Linked DNA regions of Saccharomyces cerevisiae S288C. Each later gene encodes a partner of the first gene's protein in a complex. Each region holds a gene or a part of one and is shown in the gene's direction. Other genes may lie near its edges.

Region 1 (5,410 bases):
GTTAATGCTAATATGCTCAGTAGTGATCCTAGATTACCAGTTTTACTGCAGCCATCGTACAATTTTGGAACGAGTATAAAGAGAGAAATTAAAAACGACAAGAAATATTCGTACTAGCTTCTCTTCCGGCTTGATGACAGTCTTAATATCATCTGCAACTCTTGAAATCTTGCTTTATAGTCAAAATTTACGTACGCTTTTCACTATATAATATGATTTGTCAATGTGATGAGTGAATGTCTCCCTGTTACCCGGTTTTCATGTTGATTTTTGTTTCAGGCTCTAAATGTTTGATGCAATATTTAACAAGGAGAACAGAAATGTTTTGTGACAGCACCTGTCAATTTTAGGATAGTAGCAATCGCAAACGTTCTCAATAATTCTAAGAATGACATCAGTTCAAAACTCTCCACGCTTACAACAACCTCAGGAACAGCAACAGCAACAGCAACAGCTTTCCTTAAAGATAAAACAATTGAAGTTAAAAAGAATCAACGAACTTAACAATAAACTGAGGAAAGAACTCAGCCGTGAAAGAATTACTGCTTCAAATGCATGTCTTACAATAATAAACTATACCTCGAATACAAAAGATTATACATTACCAGAACTATGGGGCTACCCCGTAGCAGGATCAAATCATTTTATAGAGGGTTTGAAAAATGCTCAAAAAAATAGCCAAATGTCAAACTCAAATAGTGTTTGTTGTACGCTTATGTAATGATAGTAATAGAATCCAAAAAAAAAAAAAATATACATGCTTTTTCATATCCTCTCTCACCCTATCTTTTTTTTTCTTCTAATTTTGGCTCCGTTCATATCTTATTCAAAATTAATTCAGCGGTAATCTTATCTTTATTGTTAGACTTCGCAGAAATTTCCTTTAGCTTCGATGCAGATAGTTTGATCAAGTCATTTTGTTTATTACGTCCCAGTTCGCGAGAAATGATGTTAACCAATGCCCACCCTTTTAGGTATAGTTCGCTAAGTTCAACGCTCCTCAAAGCATTCTTTAATGCCTTTTCCAAGAGCTCGGTCTTGGTTTGTTTCTTGCTACGTAGAGCCTCATAATACAGAGTCTCACTTAGCCTACCAAAACAAGCGTAATTGAATGGTGTAATACATAGGACCTGTTCCAAACAATAACAGGCTTTTTCAAATTGGCCCATTTCGAAATAAATCTCGCTGGCATACCACCACAATTCTGCATCAAGCGGGAATTTATCTGTAAGAGCTACCACTTCTTTAAGAACACTTTCTTGGCTCAAGTTCTTGGAAGTTGTCTTGATAGCTATCAATTTCTTTGCAATAGAGACATAAGTAACGAAGTCCGTTTCATACTCCAGATCATCATTCAACAAATTTTCCAGATATTCAATAGCGCCTTTATCATTTCCGTTTATCTGCAATAAAGTGGCTTTCATGATTACCATTTTATACGAATTTTCACCAAGACGATCTCTTAATGTATTATAAACAACTTGCGCATCAACGTCTTGGTTTCGGTACACCAAAACATAGAAAAGCATTTCCATCAAGAAGAAATAGTTTCCTTCTGTTAGTGCAGAGTCTCCGCTTTTCATGTAAATTTTCATTTCATTTTCTAGTTGCAGTAATTGTTCTGGATTAAATTGAGTATACGCTTTGGTATTCATAATTGTCAAAAGCTTTTCTCTAACCAAATCCTTCAACATTGTTTTATCTACTGCTTTCTATAATTTTCTCCGTTCCAATGCGATCCAATGCCTTTCATTCATACATAGTTATTTATTTCATTAACGATCCAAATCTCTTTACTTAACTTCACTAGTCAACGCTTCTAACACATCACGCGATACGAAGATTAACAGTTTAGTATAATATTGCAATACATACCCATTTCACACATCGGTCAAGGTCATCAAGCACTTTTAGTTATAGTGTGTCCTATAGTTCTTTCAGATTGATTGAGGTTTCATATTAGTGTTGAAAGCCTAGCTAAAGTTCTCTGGGCGTGCAACATTCGAGGACACATCGGTTGTTTATACCTCATGGGATTATGGATGGTCAAATAGATAAAATGGAGAAGCGATATAGCATGACCAAACTGGAGAATAGGTTAAGGACTTTCCAAGATGGTGTTGCACTTGAAAAAAAAAAGTTAAAGTGGAGTTTTAAAGTTATTCCGTATCAGGCAATGGCCAAGCTTGGATTTTACTTTGATCCAGTGATCGATCCTAAGACATCTAAACTGAAAAAAGACTCTGTAAGATGTTGCTATTGTCATCGTCAAACATACAATGTGAGAGACTGCAGATCCAAAAGAAAAGATGTTCTTGAGACTCTAAGCAATATAATGAGGCAACATCTGACTGTTACTGATAACAAACAAGTTTGCCTCCTTATTTACTTGCGCAATAAGCTATTGACGGACTATAGCTTCCATATGGGGGTTTCGGACTGGAAAAATGACAAGTACTTCAGCAATCCAGATGATGAAAACGTGATAAACCTAAGAAAATTTACTTTTCAAGATAACTGGCCTCACAGTGGTTCTCAAAATGAACATCCGCTGGGTATAGAAAAGATGGTGAATGCAGGACTCATGCGATACGACTCCAGCATAGAAGGCTTAGGCGATCCAAGCATGGATAAAACACTTATGAACGATACCTGTTATTGTATTTATTGCAAACAGTTGTTACAAGGTTGGTCAATAAATGACGATCCGATGAGCCGACATTATAAGGTTTCTCAAAATGGGAACTGTTATTTCTTTCAGACACGTAATCGATTTGAGAGAATAAAAAATGACAATGACAGTATCACGAAAAATTGCGAAGTCTCTCCAACTTTAGGCGAAAATGGGAAAAGAGAAGTGATCAACACGAAAACCGCTTCTCAAAGGCAGTGTCCTTTATTTGAGTCACCTCCATCTAGTACTGGTCCTCAACTTGACGATTATAATGAGAAGACAGATATATCTGTTATTCAACATAATATAAGTGTGCTTGATGGAGCACAAGGCGAAAATGTAAAACGTAATAGTGTGGAAGAAAAAGAACAAATCAACATGGAAAATGGAAGCACTACATTAGAAGAGGGCAATATAAATCGTGATGTTTTAGCAGATAAGAAAGAAGTTATTTCGACACCAACTGCAAAAGAAATCAAACGTCCAAATGTCCAGCTAACCCAATCATCGTCACCTATAAAAAAGAAAAGAAAGTTTAAGAGAATATCGCCTAGAAAAATCTTTGATGAGGAAGATAGCGAACACTCCCTTAATAATAATTCTGCCAACGGAGACAACAAAGATAAGGATTTGGTTATAGATTTTACAAGCCATATCATAAAAAATAGAGATGTAGGGAGAAAGAATGCTATTTTAGATGACAGCACAGATGAATTCAGTTTCAGTAACCAAGGACATAACACATTTGACATACCTATACCAACCTCATCACATTTGCTCAAAGGTATAGATTCAGATAATGACAATGTTATACGAGAAGATGATACTGGCATAAATACAGACACAAAAGGAGCGTCTTCTAAACACGAAAAATTTTCTGTTAATTCTGAAGAAGATTTAAATTTCAGTGAAGTGAAACTCACAGGTAGAGACAGTAGTACTAATATTCTTATAAGAACGCAAATTGTAGATCAGAATTTGGGTGATATCGACAGAGATAAGGTCCCCAATGGTGGATCCCCAGAAGTTCCAAAGACACATGAGTTAATTAGAGATAACTCTGAAAAGAGGGAAGCACAAAACGGGGAATTTCGACATCAAAAAGATTCAACTGTACGGCAATCTCCAGATATATTACATTCTAATAAAAGTGGTGATAATTCCAGTAATATTACCGCAATACCCAAAGAGGAACAAAGGAGAGGCAATAGCAAAACATCCAGCATTCCCGCTGATATTCATCCTAAACCAAGGAAAAACTTGCAAGAACCAAGAAGCCTATCAATAAGTGGAAAAGTTGTTCCAACAGAAAGAAAATTAGATAACATCAATATAGATCTAAATTTTTCGGCGTCCGATTTTTCACCATCATCACAATCTGAGCAATCATCAAAAAGCTCAAGCGTTATTTCAACGCCGGTAGCGAGCCCTAAAATTAATCTCACACGCAGTTTGCATGCAGTCAAAGAGCTTTCTGGCCTCAAAAAAGAAACTGACGATGGTAAGTATTTTACTAATAAGCAGGAAACTATAAAAATACTGGAAGATGTGTCTGTGAAGAATGAGACCCCAAATAATGAAATGTTACTTTTTGAGACTGGAACCCCGATCGCATCTCAAGAAAACAAGTCAAGAAAATTATTTGATGAAGAGTTTTCTGGGAAGGAATTGGATATACCTATAGATTCATCAACTGTAGAAATAAAAAAGGTTATTAAACCCGAATTTGAGCCAGTCCCATCAGTTGCAAGGAATTTGGTGTCTGGAACCTCTTCATATCCACGGAATTCACGTTTAGAAGAACAAAGAAAGGAAACAAGCACAAGTTTGGCTGATAATTCTAAGAAAGGAAGTTCATTTAATGAGGGCAACAACGAAAAAGAACCGAATGCAGCAGAATGGTTTAAAATTGATGAAAATAGACACCTTGTAAAAAATTACTTCCATGATTTGTTAAAATATATAAATAATAATGATGCTACGCTAGCTAATGACAAAGACGGTGATCTGGCTTTTTTGATTAAGCAAATGCCTGCAGAAGAGTTGGACATGACATTCAACAATTGGGTGAACCTAAAAGTGCAATCTATTAAGCGCGAATTTATAGATGACTGTGATAAGAAATTGGACATATTGAGAAGGGATTACTATACTGCCACAAATTTTATTGAAACTTTGGAAGATGACAATCAATTGATCGATATTGCTAAGAAAATGGGCATTTTATAGCTAACTAATTTGATAAACAGGCTAAAGGTTTGTATTTTTTGTAGTTTTGAAACTGTGTATAGAATGTTTCGCCGCATCGCAGATATCTGCAGGGAACTGTTGACATAGCATCTTCTGTGGACGTGACAACGTTACGTATATTCGTTGATACCGCAAGTCTATAGCGTATACATGCTAAGGCAAAAAGTTTCAAAGTGAATGCATTATGTATTTATATGTAAATAAGTAAGAAAAGTGGGATTTTGAAAATAAAGGTGTAGTAGGACAGTAAGTATTCAATGAAATACAATTATAACATATCTTCATCGGGCGTTCCTGATGCTTCATCCATTTGAGAATCAATGGCAGTGTCAGGCATTGATTCGTCAATTGTGTTGTTGTTATTGTTCCTAACCATGTTCTGATTACGAAGTCCCATTTGGAGATTCCTCATCTGGTCAGGTGATATTTGCATTCTATTGCCAAACTGACGCCAGAAATTTGGATTTTCTGTTTCATTGTCATCAT
Region 2 (3,598 bases), on another chromosome or scaffold:
ACGTACTAAAATAGTCTCTTCGGTTGTAGATGAAGTTCTGGTAAAGGAATTGTCTACTACAAACTGAATCGCATGATCTACTTCGGCCAAATCCACATCGTCTTGCTTCTCGAAGTATGCAGTATGGAAAGCCTTGGCATCATCTGAAATATATGCAGTTTGCTTGAAATTAGTATACTGCTGTCCAACCCATTCATATTTGGTGGGGTAAGAATTCTTTTTCGTTTTCAGTAGAATCCAAAGTATCAATAAATCATAAGTAGATTCAAAGATGACCTCTTCACCATCTTCGTTGCTGAACAGCGAAGGTAATTCAGTTTCTGCAAAAGCAGGGTCATTCTTAAGAATTTTGCTCATGGTTAGCAATTGGTGCTTGTTCTCTGACAGCATTGTTTTTTCTAGTTTTTTCAACCTCGTTAAAGCCTCTTTTAAAATTTGTTTTTGACCTTTAGTATAAACGTCAGCACAATAGACTCTGTAAGGATCAATTGCATAAGAGTCATCAGTTGCAGGTGGTCCAGTAATGCTGTTGAGTTTGCTCTGCAATGCATTTCGTAGCATTTGTATACCCTGCAAACGGGCTCTCAAATCGTGTAGATCCTCCTCTTCGGCCTTAGAAAGGTAGGTAAAAAGATCCAGTAATGGTTCTAAACATTGTTCATTTTGTATGTTAATGAAGTAAGTCACCCCATTGATGTAGTCTGTAGCACTACGAGTAGCCTTCTTTTCTTGCTGGACACAGTCTTTGTTTTCAAAAGCATAAGTGGTGTAATCCGAAAGTAAGGGCAGCTTCAAACTAGGTTCTGTTTCAAGAATTGTAGATACCACATCTAATGGCAATTTAACTTTCAAAGCCACTGAGTCAAATATGTTGTCTTCTAAAACAAATCCATATCCAGAGAGTAACTCCTCATTTCCCTTACCGCCATAATTATTTGATAGTTCTCGTGATTGGGAGGCGGTACCGATTTTTTCATAACAGAACCACCCATTTTCAGGATACCATTTGACTTTGGAACGGTAGTCATGATTTAGAAGATCGACGATGGGAAGCAGTACAATAGAGTTGTCAGGACAGTTTCTGTTTAGCACATATTCAGGGAATGCTCTTGAAATGAATATAAGGTGCGACCATAAAAATGCAGGAAAAGAATACCAGATAGTTGGTCTTTGAAGTTCTGTTATCTTCAAAATCTTCTCATACAAAGCCTCATATGTCAACTCATCGAGATTATGGAAGGTCTGCACATCATCTGCCACTCTTTCCAAGTCAAACATATCTGAAGAACTGACCAGTTCAAACCACTCTTTAAATATACCTTCGAACTTTTCATGAATCGAATTCCCTATGTTTGTAGATGATAAACGCTTCAACTCGCTTGGGTTCCAGACCAAGGGCGAATTTAGGCGGGAAGGCAATGCATCCAAGTAAGGTTTAAATTTATCATTCACACGAACATTGTCCACGATAGTATCATTATCCCTATCAAATTTTATTTTTGCGAAGAACAACTTCAGCCATCCGTTGATATTCTTAGTGGATTCACTTAGCCCAAAAAACTTCATGGGCAGATTCCTTGAAATGACAATCTCGGGAGGAATCTTGATGCTGGGATTGTCTATATCTTTTTCACATACGCAAATAATGCCCTTAAGATCGGTATATAAAAACTTGAGTTCCTCTGGCACTATTACACCAAATGACGCACCCCACTGAAGTAGTGCTTTTAACGCATCTGATGACATGATAGTCTTCTCTTGTATCTATAACCTTTGTGCTCCATTTTCCGATACAGCATTGCTTATTGAACAGTAAGTTTAACTTCACGCGTTTTTCCTGTAAAGCGCTTAATTTGTTTACCATTCTATAAAAACCTTGAGCTAAGGCCAACTGATGCAATTGCTCAAGTGAATGCATAAACAAAGCAAGATCATTCTTAGCGCAAAAAAAACTGGGATTTTGAAATACAACAAAAGAAAGAAGTAAAAAGGGAATGCAACGCAATAGTTTAGTAAATATCAAACTAAACGCTAATTCGCCATCGAAAAAGACCACAACAAGACCAAATACGTCCAGGATCAATAAACCATGGAGAATATCCCATTCGCCGCAGCAAAGAAACCCGAATTCAAAAATACCTTCACCTGTAAGAGAAAAATTGAACAGATTACCTGTAAACAATAAGAAGTTTTTGGATATGGAAAGCTCCAAAATTCCATCACCTATAAGGAAAGCGACTTCTTCCAAAATGATACACGAAAATAAGAAGCTACCTAAATTTAAATCCCTATCACTCGATGACTTTGAACTGGGGAAGAAATTAGGAAAGGGTAAATTCGGTAAAGTTTATTGCGTTCGGCACAGGAGTACAGGATATATTTGCGCACTGAAAGTAATGGAGAAGGAAGAAATAATAAAGTATAATTTACAGAAACAATTCAGAAGGGAGGTAGAAATACAAACATCGCTAAATCATCCGAATCTAACTAAATCATACGGCTATTTTCATGATGAAAAAAGAGTGTACCTGCTAATGGAATACTTAGTCAATGGGGAAATGTATAAACTATTGAGGTTACACGGACCCTTCAACGATATTTTAGCATCAGATTATATTTATCAAATTGCCAATGCCCTAGATTATATGCATAAAAAGAATATTATTCATAGAGATATTAAACCTGAAAATATACTAATAGGGTTCAATAATGTCATTAAGTTAACGGACTTCGGATGGAGTATAATAAATCCGCCAGAAAATAGAAGGAAAACTGTCTGTGGGACAATTGACTACCTTTCTCCAGAAATGGTGGAGTCAAGGGAATATGATCACACTATAGATGCATGGGCTCTTGGCGTCCTGGCGTTTGAACTACTGACCGGTGCCCCTCCGTTCGAAGAAGAAATGAAAGATACTACATATAAAAGGATAGCAGCACTGGATATCAAAATGCCCAGTAACATTTCTCAGGATGCGCAAGATTTAATACTTAAACTACTAAAATACGACCCCAAAGATAGAATGCGCCTTGGAGACGTAAAAATGCATCCTTGGATACTAAGAAACAAGCCCTTTTGGGAAAATAAGCGGTTATAGAATTAAAGTATGACAGAATCGTTTGAAGGGCACTATTAATCACTCCCGCACATATCACATAATACTAAGTATCCATTTCTAATATTTCATTACTCTTTTCGGCATCGTATATTGCGATATTTGATTAAATTTTCTTGTTCATTTTTTCCTCTTTTCTTTCGCCTTTGTCGAAAGAAAAGAGGAAAACAAGCTGAAAATTGCTATGCATTAAAGTAGCAGATTTACTTTGTTGAGTTGGTTCTGATCAATAATAAGAGTAATGAAAGAAAGCAAAAAAATGGCTAAAGATAATTTAACTAATTTGCTCTCTCAATTGAACATTCAATTGTCTCAAGACGAGCATTCGCAGGTCGAACAGACTTGCGTGAAACTATTGGATTCTGGATGTGAGAATCCAGCGGATGTATTTAGACGTTGCTTAGTAGCTGTTATCCAACAGGACAAGTATCAAAAGGCTTTACATTATTTAAAAAAATTCAAACATATAGATGACAAGTACG
Region 3 (4,543 bases), on another chromosome or scaffold:
TAACTCCGAAAATATCATGAAAAAGAGGGTTATTTCCGTTCGTCGGGACATTGCTGTAGAGCTCTTCAATGGCCACAACTTGGGAGCGTTAATATGCAATCAAGTTGTAGGGAAGATTATATCTCTCCAGGGATTATTACCTGGGACACAGAGCTCTTTTCCTTATCTCATCTCACGCATCTAGACCCTGCTAGCCGTCGTTTCTTATTTGAAGCGTTAATCACCCTCACTTTTCGTCCGTAGCACGTAAAAAAGAAAAATAGGGTACCGTTTACCTGTCGTTAATATGCAAGTCATTAACAATCCAGCCCAGTACTTTATTTGCTATGGCACGGCATAGGCGCAGGGAGTTCACGATTTGGTCATCAATGATTATCACGATATGGGGGTCCTTATGATCTTGATGTTCTTTCAACTGCTCTTTGTTTCTTTTTTTTTTGTACGACAGTTTATGTGTTAAAGAACACATCCACTCCAATTTTGGGTCGTTTATACTTTTGTTTCGCTAATCTTAAGCCAACCTTGAGTTTATACCTAATTATATGCCACGTTAATGCACAAAACCCCTCGTAATAAACTTTCCTTGGAAGACTTTCTTTTTCTATTCGACGCATTTGGTTACATATCTGTTGGGAAAGAGCCCTTCGACTGCAAGTCCGGCATCAAGAAAGCTTGACATCCAAAGAAGCATTTAAGTATAAATAAATGAGACCCATTCTATCTTCTCAAATAAATCTTTTACAAATATGTGAACGTCAAAGCGCATACTTAATAAAAATTTATACTCTACACCACCTTCGTTATTACTTCACTGAAGTTTCCCTTTCCAGCAAGATATGGGCAAATTTGAGCAAAAAGAAAGAGAAAGAATAAGCACATTTAGTTTTCCTACTACGGGCAGTCAATCTAGTACATCCATTAAATCACTTGGCAGCCCACTCTATGGACGTTTCAGCTCTCTCTCTTCAACAGAATCTCAGTTCGATAGCAGCAAACAACCCCATGAGTACGAAAAGAGCTTTTATTTTGAAGAGTCTCAAGGCGAAGCTCTGTTCAACAAGCTGAAGACCTACTCTTTCCCTGGAGACAAGGATGGTGTGAAAACGAGGAGAAATTCCTCCATATGTCCAAGAAAGCCTAATGCGGTATCACCTTTAAGGGTAGAAAGTAATGAATTATCATCACATTCGCATTCACGTTCATTATCACACGAACTTACAAAGCCTTCAGGGCGAAGGAAAAGTTACCACAGAAAAAGTCATGCAATCTCATTCAGCAGGTCTTGTAAGCCAAATTTCATTGACGGGTACGATTCTAATTCAAGCATAGGCGTCAATTCAAGAAAAACTTCATTGGCAAGTTCTTTCTTGGACAAAGAATATCATTCTTCACCGGATACTTCATATACCCACCAAATGTCCCCGAAAAACACAATCATGAATACCAATGAACAATTAAGAAGAAACGCAAGCGGTAGATTCGGGAGTTTGAAAGAATTCGCTGAAAAAAATCAGATAAATATTGAGGGCAAAATTTTTGCTCATAAAGTGGAAACTGGAGACATATTGCAACCACTAATTGACTTAGATATTGACAATAAATGACTGGATCATTTGTCTCGCATTTTTTTTTTTCGTTTGTTTTGATAAATAAAGGACTTAATGTTAGTTTTGATAATGTTAAATGAATATATAAAAATAAACCATGTAAAGAGTATTTTGTTACGCTGTTTCGTTATAGCGTTATGTCAGTGTTATTATTTCTTATACGCGGAAAAGCCTGATCCATTCTGTTCTGAAACCGATCTTCATATTTTAAATTTCGCGAATTAACTAAAAAAAGAAAACAAACAAAAACTCGTTTCAAGTATTGCCAATGATACAAACAAAACGTTTCAAAGTATCTCCTCAACTGACGGACTTTGAAAGAGCCCGAAGATTTAAACAATGGACTGGGCAATCAAAGCAGCTAGGAAGAAAACTCAAAGGAAGCCAGGCTCTACCCGTTCAATCATAGAAACCCTCGATGATCTAAATAATCTAACAACAGATGCACATTCAGAAATAAATCAACGATTGTACGAAAGTAGTGAATGGTTAAGAAATAATGTTTATATGAATACACTCAAGTATGAAGACAAAAAGATGGAAGAGTCTTTAATTAGCCCCGAAAATACGCATAACAAAATGGATGTCGAATTTCCTAAAATGAAAGGAGAATATGAACTTTCTAACTCCCAGAATGATGCCGCAAAAGACGTTACTAAGACACCCAGAAATGGATTACATAACGATAAAAGTATCACGCCTAAATCACTCCGCAGGAAGGAAGTCACCGAAGGAATGAATAGATTTAGTATACATGATACCAATAAAAGCCCGGTTGAGCCATTGAATAGCGTTAAAGTCGACGCCAATGAAAGCGAAAAATCCTCACCATGGTCACCTTACAAAGTTGAAAAGGTTCTAAGAGAATCCTCCAAGACTTCGGAGTCTCCGATTAATACAAAACGCTTCGATAATCAAACATGGGCGGCTAAGGAAGAAATGGAGAATGAACCTATACTTCAAGCTTTAAAGAAAGCTGAATCAGTAAAGGTGAAACCACCACCGAATTCTGGGATAGCGAGATCTCAAAGAAGGTCGAATATGTTTGTTCCACTGCCGAATAAAGATCCTCTTATTATTCAACACATTCCACCAACAAAATCTTCAGGATCAATACCAAAAGTACGAACAGTAAAGGAATCACCAATCGCATTTAAAAAAAAATCTACGATAAATAGTCCTGCTATAAGAGCTGTGGAAAACAGTGATACCGCGGGATCTACAAAAGCATCCAGTGTTTTCGATAGGCTATCATCTATTCCAACAAAATCATTTGAAAACAAAATTTCCCGTGGAAACGTTGGTCACAAATACTCCTCTTCATCAATCGATTTAACAGGCTCCCCCATGAAAAAAGTTTCTCAAAAGTTTAAGTCAATAAACTCCACGGATACTGATATGCAAGAAGCGTTAAGAGATATATTCTCAGTAAAAAATAAAATAACCAAAAATAATTCACCCAAAGGAAAAAACTCTCGAAAATCCTCTATTCCGAGGTTTGATAAGACTTCTTTGAAGCTAACGACACACAAAAAGCTAGCAATCATTGCAGAACAGAAAAAGAAGTCCAAACACTCTAGTGATGTTCATAAAACTGGTTCAAGACCGCACAGTATTTCTCCAACAAAAATAAGTGTCGATTCAAGCTCGCCATCTAAAGAAGTTAAAAATTATTACCAAAGCCCTGTAAGAGGTTATTTGAGACCAACAAAAGCGTCTATTTCGCCTAATAAAAATAAAAATTTAACAACGTCGCAAACGCCACATCGTTTGAAAATTAAAGAGAAAACATTAAGAAAACTTTCTCCGAATATTGCTGACATCTCCAAGCCAGAGTCTCGTAAATCCAAAAATTATCGGCTTACAAACCTTCAATTACTTCCACCAGCAGAGGCAGAACGAGATGACTTAAAAAAAAAGTTTGATAAAAGGTTATCAGGAATTATGAGGTCTCAACAGGAACATCATCGGCGTAAACAAGAGAAACAAAAAAGGATGTCGCATTTGGAACAAGATCTAAAAAAGCAAACAAGCTTTAGTAATGACTACAAGGACATACGTCTAAAAGAATCTTTGGCTCCTTTCGATAATCATGTGCGAGATACCATCAACAAAAATACTGCATTTAGTACCGACAATATATTGGCCACAATAAATACAGTTGACCATCGAGAAATAATCGGAAATGTGACCCCAAAGATAGCCTCTGTCAATGATTCTTTACCAGAGATAAATACTGATTCTGAAGATGAGGCTAGCGTAACTTTAGCGGCATGGGCTAAATCCCCGTATTTGCAAGAGCAATTGATAAGACAGCAAGATATAAATCCACAAACTATCTTTGGACCAATTCCGCCTTTGCACACCGATGAAATTTTCCCAAATCCTAGGCTAAACAGGTTGAAACCGCGTCAAATTGTGCCCAAAAGGTCTTGAATTCGATTACCCCAGAAAAGAAAAATTCAAACTGGTTAACATTAAATCAAGTACACTTTAAATACTCTGGTATTCCCCCTGCATTACGTATATCGTTCACTTTCTTTACTTTTCCTTCTTGCTTTGTTATTTCTATCTACAACTTTGCGTTACATATTTTTAACTATTTGACACTTCACACAGATCTTCTTTCTAAGGCTTTTTGCTTATCCCACTTGGAAATCCACCCTTCACTTTCTACCTTTGGCACAATATATATTTTCAAAGCGTTATCGAACAATGGTACATCTGGCGACTCTTTCTTCAAGATATCGTGAAATGTCAGTTTCTTACCAGCTTTAATCAAACCACCTGCCTTTGTTTCCATGAACACCAACACTTTCTTTGGTGTGAAGTTTTCCTTACCTTCTTTTTTGAAGCGTTCTTGCGGCCCTTCCAAAACTAGGTCAACAAGTTCTTGCACAGTAGTTAACTCACTTACTTCACCTACAAAATCAAAT

The links. Proteins that work in one complex are often made in the same cells at the same time.
Region 2: BIR1 (region 1) and IPL1 share a complex: the UniProt entries of both Saccharomyces cerevisiae proteins name them as parts of the CPC complex.
Region 3: BIR1 (region 1) and SLI15 share a complex: the UniProt entries of both Saccharomyces cerevisiae proteins name them as parts of the CPC complex.

Annotation. Positions count from the first base shown.
Region 1 is NC_001142.9:585,680-591,089, forward strand, and holds BIR1 (survivin), read left to right. Parts: upstream 1-2,038; coding exon 2,039-4,903; downstream 4,904-5,410. Other genes in the region: STE18 (Ste18p), read left to right, coding at 389-721; EMC2 (Emc2p), read right to left, coding at 816-1,694; SCF ubiquitin ligase complex subunit GRR1, read right to left, coding at 5,193-5,410. UniProt on the Saccharomyces cerevisiae protein: Component of the chromosomal passenger complex (CPC), a complex that acts as a key regulator of chromosome segregation and cytokinesis.
Region 2 is NC_001148.4:155,990-159,587, reverse strand, and holds IPL1 (aurora kinase), read left to right. Parts: upstream 1-1,994; coding exon 1,995-3,098; downstream 3,099-3,598. Other genes in the region: RKM1 (protein-lysine N-methyltransferase), read right to left, coding at 1-1,746; signal recognition particle subunit SRP72, read left to right, coding at 3,376-3,598. UniProt on the Saccharomyces cerevisiae protein: Component of the chromosomal passenger complex (CPC), a complex that acts as a key regulator of chromosome segregation and cytokinesis.
Region 3 is NC_001134.8:550,604-555,146, reverse strand, and holds SLI15 (Sli15p), read left to right. Parts: upstream 1-1,946; coding exon 1,947-4,043; downstream 4,044-4,543. Other genes in the region: ICS2 (Ics2p), read left to right, coding at 837-1,604; HSP70/90 family co-chaperone CNS1, read right to left, coding at 4,219-4,543. UniProt on the Saccharomyces cerevisiae protein: Component of the chromosomal passenger complex (CPC), a complex that acts as a key regulator of mitosis. Stimulates IPL1 kinase activity and facilitates its association with the mitotic spindle.